Linked DNA regions of Oreochromis niloticus. The protein of the gene in region 2 purifies or fractionates together with the protein of the main gene of each other region. This does not show direct contact. Links are inferred from orthologs where the notes say so. Each region holds a gene or a part of one and is shown on either strand. Other genes may lie near its edges.

What was found.
Region 1: the proteins of flii (region 2) and lrrfip2 purify together in Homo sapiens (affinity purification with mass spectrometry; 3 studies listed by BioGRID and IntAct, with this or other methods). This does not show direct contact. The link is inferred for Oreochromis niloticus from reciprocal best matches to the Homo sapiens genes FLII and LRRFIP2.

What each region holds. Positions count from the first base shown.
Region 1 is NC_031978.2:25,203,135-25,206,888, forward strand, and holds the start of lrrfip2 (leucine-rich repeat flightless-interacting protein 2), read left to right. Parts: upstream 1-1,251; 5' UTR 1,252-1,459; intron 1,460-2,641; 5' UTR 2,642-2,679; coding exon 2,680-2,787; intron 2,788-3,754. UniProt on the Homo sapiens protein: May function as activator of the canonical Wnt signaling pathway, in association with DVL3, upstream of CTNNB1/beta-catenin.
Region 2 is NC_031969.2:11,744,801-11,748,554, forward strand, and holds the start of flii (protein flightless-1 homolog), read left to right. Parts: upstream 1-1,022; 5' UTR 1,023-1,116; coding exon 1,117-1,179; intron 1,180-2,227; coding exon 2,228-2,338; intron 2,339-2,821; coding exon 2,822-2,893; intron 2,894-3,049; coding exon 3,050-3,130; intron 3,131-3,260; coding exon 3,261-3,508; intron 3,509-3,662; coding exon 3,663-3,754. UniProt on the Homo sapiens protein: Is a regulator of actin polymerization, required for proper myofibril organization and regulation of the length of sarcomeric thin filaments. It also plays a role in the assembly of cardiomyocyte cell adhesion complexes.

The sequences.
Region 1 (3,754 bases), on a different chromosome or scaffold from region 2:
ACAGGTGTTCAAGTTCTCTAAAAACACAAAGAGAGATAAACAGTACTTTGTTTGCATATATTCTTGGAGTTGTTGCTAATAAGACACTAGTTTTCTGCACTGTTCTCATGCATATATAAATATTAGGTCACTGCCCTTGTATAAGTTTTGTTTTGGGTTTTTTTTTTTGGCTCTGTCAGACTGCCATCTATATTTTTTTAAACAGGTGACTTCAGCATTTAAGTTAAACGGCATAAATGTTTGCATCCACATCATACATTTAGGAAAGTATGGAGTAACTCCATACAGCACTGCATTTTTACAAAATGCAGAACAAATCGTTATCCATTACTGCCCTCATGTGGACAAACTATGTAGCCGTGACAGCAGACTACAGTGCCCTTTGACCTTCCTAGGTAACCTCTGCAGCTTTGGTGGCACACCATATGCTATTAAATGGGCAACCAAGTTCATGGGAGTATTCGGTTTGTTCTATTAATTACATTCATACAATATAGCTGCACCAGCTGATGAATGACCTCTGTTTAGTTTCAAAGGTACATGAAGGTTACCAGCATGACCTCCTCAGTCATGCTGGTTACATGATTGCTGCAGAAGCACTAAAATATTATTAACCGATATGTTTGTTTGTTTTTATTAGCAACTTCTATGAATTAATGGAACTTACAGTTGAAGGATATCAGTAGAAATCCGATGAAGGGGTACACCGACTTTATTGGGTGGGTCTGGACCCCCGAGCCCCATCGATAAGGCCGACCTCTGACAAGGAAAAAAAGTAAATGCTGAAAATATAACATTGCATAAAAACGAAATAATAATAATGAGTAATAATAATAATAATAATAAGTACTGGATGGAATTTTTTGAATAAGATAATATTTTGGCAAAAATCTACATACAATATATTCCACACTACATTTTCAACTGCATTAAATTTAAACTGTACTTAAATATGGGCTAAAAGATAAAAGCTTTACAGATATCATATAATCATTTGTGAGCAAGCTTAACAAAGCCTGCTCATCAAAGCAAGAAACTGTCCAATACAAAGGGATATTTATATAGTAACAACAATATAAGATGGTTGATTTTTTTCTCGTTTAAAGAAAGAAATGTTTTTATCGCCTAAAATTATTATATGGTAATATAAAAACTAGAAGGTCTGCATCAGTTTGAAAAAAAAAAGTTACGATTCTGATTGCTCTTGCGGGACGTGAACGCAGCATCACACCCTAATTTTTTTTCCAACATCCGGGTCCTTTGGAACCAACCAGTGTGTGTGGAAACTGGGTAAGGAGGGCAGTGAGGAGCGGTGGAAAGGCGGACTGATGACAGCTGTCACTGCGGACAAAAACACTAACAATCTCTGAAGAGAACCCGAATGGCTCACCCCTGAAACTCCAGGAGACAAGGGATAACACCTCGACAGTATCGCGGGTTATTTAAAGGTGTCGCGAAGGTGAGGTATTGTTTTTGGGGGGCTGGGAAATATGACTGGAGGATCAGTGCCAGTATGCCCTGTCTGTCTCTGGAGAGTCCAGGTTAGCCCCACTAGCTATCCAAGCTAACTACCCAGCTAAACAAGTGAACTAGCTTTAGGTAGGTCTTCGGGACCTGGGGGGTGGGGGTCATTGCCGTGGGACGGACACGTCTAAATAGTTCTCGTTTTCTAGAGCGTTAGCTGGACTGAAAGCTCAATGAGAACCTAATAAGGGAACTTTTCAAATATGAATTCGGGAACGACGAAATGCTAGTTAGCACTCCCAGTTAGCTCAGCAAAAGAGCTAGCTAACAGTAGTTAACGCTGGTAGCTAATGCTAGGGAGCAACACATTGCCTCACTTCATTGCATTACTTTTGTTTTAACGCAGCCGTTATTTTAATTATTTTGCTTATATGACATGGTGTAGGGGATAATTCCAGCTTTGTTAGTGGGTGGTAACTTAACCCAGCTGATTAATGATGGCTGGCTAATCACCCTATTCTTTGTCAAGGATCAGAATTCCTTAAGTTGCCTGCGGCGTCTGTGACTAGTCCGTTTGACTCTTGGACCTACGCGGTTTAGCTCATCAAACGTCTGCATGGAGTGCTCATGTCTCACTTGGATCCTCTGACTCAGCCGGATCCTAAACTAGGCGTTTTCCCCCCCGCGTCTGTACCAGCCATCCACAGTGGGCTTTTGTCTAGTGATAATGTTAACTCTGATATTACTCTTGTGTCTATCAACGCATGTGGAATACCCATTACATCAACTTAAAATGCAAGCGTAATCAGTGGACAGGTATTGTTTGTAGATTTTTTTTTTTTTTTTAACTAATTGTGTTATTAATTCTGTACACTTTATCATGCTGTGTTTTGGATTGATATCTCCGGCTGATTTAAGTTACCAGAGCTCCTTCTATATGCATGTCACTTTAAAGCTGGTTCATGTCAGTCACAAGTGTTTATCCAAAGCCCTTGTGGATTCCATACAAGGGTCTGTTTTTGCAGGAGTGAAAATAAGAGATATGAAGTGTCTGAGTTGGGAGTGCAGAAAGCATACACAGTGAAACACAGCCAAAAGACATATGTCTAATTATTCTATCATTTGACTTTGTTTACTGACTTGTTGAAATTATTTTTATCTGCTTTTGTTCCTCCAGGAATTAACACACGTTTCCATTTCCTGGGCTTACACAGTATGAGTTCCAGTACTAACATGGGGACACAAGGCACTGGTAGAAAGCGTGCTCCTCTAAAAGATCGGTTCTCAGCAGAGGATGATGCGCTGAATAGCATTGCTCGTGAGGTAAGGTCATTCATCACTTACATTAATTTTGAAGCTTACTGCAATGAACCTGGGATGCTTTCTCCATAAAATGTTCCCTTTATGCAATCCTGAATCAATGCAAATCTGATTTTTAGTCAGCTCAAATGTTCTTGTTTATCCTTGTTGAGATAATGGGGGCTTCAAGTATAGACAGAGGACTGATTTGTCAATTTAAGGGTGGCTAACCTGGGCAGCAGAACCATCACTTTTTAAAACTACCAAGTAGTTTCTTAAGAGCATTATCAGTACTCATATGCTTGCCTAAGCAGCATTATGGTTTGTGAGAGCCCTTTTAAACTGAACATGTCGATTAAATCTTTTGCCTAAGCCTTATAATGTAAATGCATGTGTCTACTTACTTTTTGTAACCCTTATTGTATCGTTGCAATTACTTAAACCAATGAAAAAACTCAGGTCATCTTAATGATTTTTCAGCAATGTGTAACATTTCAAGAAGACAGAAGCATTTTTTTTTACTTTTATGTGAATTCAAACAAAAAGAATTAAAAATGTTAATTATCTTTTTGCCTGAGAGATTGTGGAAAGTATTTACCAATAGCTTTTACACCATTTGAAATTGAGCTAACAATTTTAGAGCCCAGGTTTAGAGTAACCTGGTTGATCTTACTAATGTTCCAATGTTGTCTTTTGAAAAACTGGTTGAAAGTTGAGACCAAAGGCTACTCAGCAGAACTTGTATGCGATCTGTCAGGTTTCAGACTAGGTTAGCTATCAGTTCAGTTTAACAGCACGTTGAATTAGAGAGGTGTACGAAGACTGCAGGGCGAGTGATGTTAATTTGAAGTGTGCGTTTCATTATCAAAAACCTTAATGTCTATATTTAGATATGGATGTTTGTGTTTTGCTGGTTAAGTTCTGTGTTTCACCCCAAGCAAGTGAAGACAGCTTGTTTGGAGTCCACAGAGGTTGACTTCACTTGTAGTGT
Region 2 (3,754 bases):
GCAGGAACTGGGATGAAGGGTCGAAAAAAGAAATTAGATGAGAGCAAATGTTTTATTTTCACTCGGCACTACAGACTGTAAAGAAAAAAATTACTTTTGTGGGTTACACTGAGCCATTTTTATGTTGTCTGATATTTGCCATGCTTGGTTTTGATTGAATACACTAAGTATTTTTTATTCATATAGACTCAAGACTCAAGAAGTTTATTGTCATTTCGTATGGTGTTACCCAGCCTGAAACGAAATACTGTTTCTCACCAGCTTCTACAGTGCAAAAAGCAATACAGTTTAAAAAAGAATAAATACAGTTTAAAAATAATAAATACAGTTTTAAAAGAATAAGTTTAAAAAGAGCAGTAAAAGAGGCAGTAATGAATTGCAACAATAGTTATGGATAAATAAATAACATAAAATCTAAGTTCTAAAACAAACTCAAGTCACATTCGCTCGGGTATATAGCAGCAGTCCTTTCACGGGAGCGGATAGTTACATTAGGTAGTGTTTGTATCTGAGGAGTGTATTGTATGTGTGTGTGTGTGTGTGTGTGTGTGTGTGTGTGTAGATGGGGGCAACACAGTCCCGCTTGTTGATCTTACAGTGTAGCTGTGTGAATGGCTGTGTGGGTGGGGAGGGGGCACAGTCCATTTGTCAGTCTCACAGCTTATGCAAAGAACCCTTCCAGCATCTCTGTCTATCTATCTATCTATCTAGATAGATAGATAGATAGATAGATGTACTTTATAATATGCAACTTCTTTTTTGCATATTACTGTTTTTAGATTTTTACTTTTTAATTTTTGACCTTCTTATGTATTTATTGAGGTTGTGTTTGACATGTTTGACTGTTTTTGCAGCAATTTCACAATTTTGGGGATTTAATCATCTGATGATTCGCGTATTAGATTTGGCGAAGATTTTTCCCTGGATGCCCTTCCGGGTACTCCACTCATCCAGGCTTGGGACAGCTGTTACTCCGTGGGTGTACGTTAGGTGGCGATATGCCACTCATCGCGTTGGTTTGCGACACGGAAAAAGAATAAGAAAAAGAAACGGTAGTCTTTTCAGCCACAACCCTCTTTTGACCAAAATAGAGCAGCAGACATCAAATAGTTAGAAATGGCTGCCACCGGAGTTCTTCCCTTTATACGGGGGGTAGACCTCAGTGGAAACGACTTTAAAGTAAGTATTTTTAAACAGCATTCACTGATTTTCACACTGTCCGATGTTTAGTAAATACGACGTTAGAGTAGCTGGAGCGACTTCAGTCATTCTCAGAGCAACAAACGGCAGGGCTAGCTATAAACTAGCTTAGCTTAACGTTACTAGCATTGGGCGTTAGCCAGTTGTCAGAGTGACACAGTCTGCTCAGCCACCACCGCCCAGTTTGGTGGTTAACACAGTTCTTATTTGACGTGTGGGTTTGCGAACTGTATATATTTTTAGCTCGTCAGCTAGCGTTAATATTATTTTTGTGAAGTTGTTGATGAGCTAGGTCTTATATTCACAGTCATGTTAGCTGAGTAATCTAGCCACACTTATGGCTAACTAAATGTCTGTCACAGAAGCTCGAGCTCCGTGTTGTAACTTGTCAGAAAGTGAAGTGGATAAACAGCGTCAGCTAACTAATAGAGCTTGCTGTTGCTTTTAGGTTGTGACACCCTTTTATGAGCTTATTTTCGGAGAGTGGAAAAAGCAGCCCGATTGACAGCTGCGATCACCTGGCATGTATTTGTCCTGACACAACTATTTACGTATCTCCGTCAAAGTATTGGAAATATGCTGCTTAAACAACTGAGTTATCTGTTAGTCAATCGGTGGCTTTTGATTGAAATCTGCCAGTACATGATGAGATCATTTCCTTATATTCTAACTGCTTTAGCATATGCAGCCCTAGCATTTCTCTTCCTGGATGTGTGCACTTTTCATCTGTTAAAAAAAATCAAGATTAATGCTATCCGCCCATTTGTGTGCAAATGTAGTGCTGTCACTATTTATGCAATCAAAACATTAAAGTGCAGTTCATTCCTATAATTGACAATGAAATTGTTAGAGTATCTTTGGGGGGAAGTTGTTTAAAAATGTAATCTTTCTCTGGTAGCACATCTAGAGTTTTATGTTTCAGTGTTTTGGTAAAAGCGGACAAATTCATCCCCCTCTGCACTATAACAAAGTAAGTTCTTGTATTACTGTTGTCAAAAGTCATGTATTTTTGTGTGGTCTCACTTAGGGTGGATACTTCCCAGAGCACGTTAAGTGTATGAGCAGCCTGCGATGGCTGAAACTGAACAGGACGGGACTGTGTTACCTACCAGAGGAGCTGGCCTCTCTGCAGAAGCTGGTGAGACATCCTGACTAACTAGGAGCATCTTCATACATGAAGTGATTTGTATGTGTGTGTATGTGCATCTACAATGCAATTTAAGTAAGAATTTTTTGTGAGTAGACCTCTTTGTAATGGCCACAGTCTTTTTGTTCTACATCTGTACTGTGCAGTTTTCCAAAGATAAAAGGATCAAGGAACTGTTTATTTTATCAAGTGAGATAGATTTTTGTGCAAGAAAATTATTTGTATAGGAGATGAGACATGGATCAAAGTTAAAATATTCATTTTGTCCTTGCTGGATTCACTTTGTATTTGTGGTCATATGAACAAGTTTAAACTGTTTGAAAACATAGAAGTGTTTAATCTGATACGAGCAGATAACTACAAGGGTGTAATCAGCACATGATTTACTTGTGAAACACATACCCTGTATCCTCATGACTTGTGAAGACCAAAGTATAGCAGTGACATGTGCCTGTGTGTATTTTCCCTTTTTAGGAGCACCTTTCAGTGAGTCACAACAGCCTGACCACTTTACATGGGGAACTGTCCAGCTTACCGAATCTACGGGTAACTAAAAAAAACCCAGAAAAACTACATGCCTTTTTAAAAATAAAAATGGAAATGATGTTCCACCCATACATTAAAAAACAGAGCTCCTGCCACATGATTGCCTCTTTCTTTCTACACCAGTGTGTAATCTAGTATTCTAAATTTTGTCTGCAGGCGGTGGTAGCCAGGGCCAACAATCTGAAAAATTCTGGAGTCCCGGATGACATCTTTCAGCTCGATGACCTCTCTGTGCTGGTACACAAATGTCTCTTAACTGTCTCACACTTTCAACACACCCTTAAATTTAACACTAACATTTTGAGCATGAGTCATTTGCTTCCAGTCTACTACTTTTGCTTTTTTTATTCACTTTGTCCTCCACCAGGACCTGAGCTACAATCAGCTGACAGAGATCCCCAGGGACCTGGAGAACAGCAAGAACATGCTGGTGCTCAATCTGAGCCACAACAGCATCGACTCCATCCCCAACCAGTTGTTCATCAACCTGACAGACCTGCTGTATCTGGACCTGAGTGACAACAAGCTGGACAGCCTGCCACCCCAGATGAGACGCCTGGTGCACCTGCAGACTCTGATTCTAAACAACAACCCGCTGATGCATGCCCAGTTGCGGTAAAAAAAAAGATTCAATATTGCATCATTTTTTGCCAGCCTCTGTTCAATTTACCAACCACCTTATACCTTTAAACAAACATCCAGAAAGGATGATTTTATTTTTTAAACATCCTTACTGATTTTAGTGCTTCTTCTTTTATTGTCCGAGCAGCCAGCTCCCAGCAATGGTGGCATTACAGACTCTGCACCTGAGGAACACCCAGAGAACACAGAGCAACATGCCCACCAGCCTGGAGGGACTAA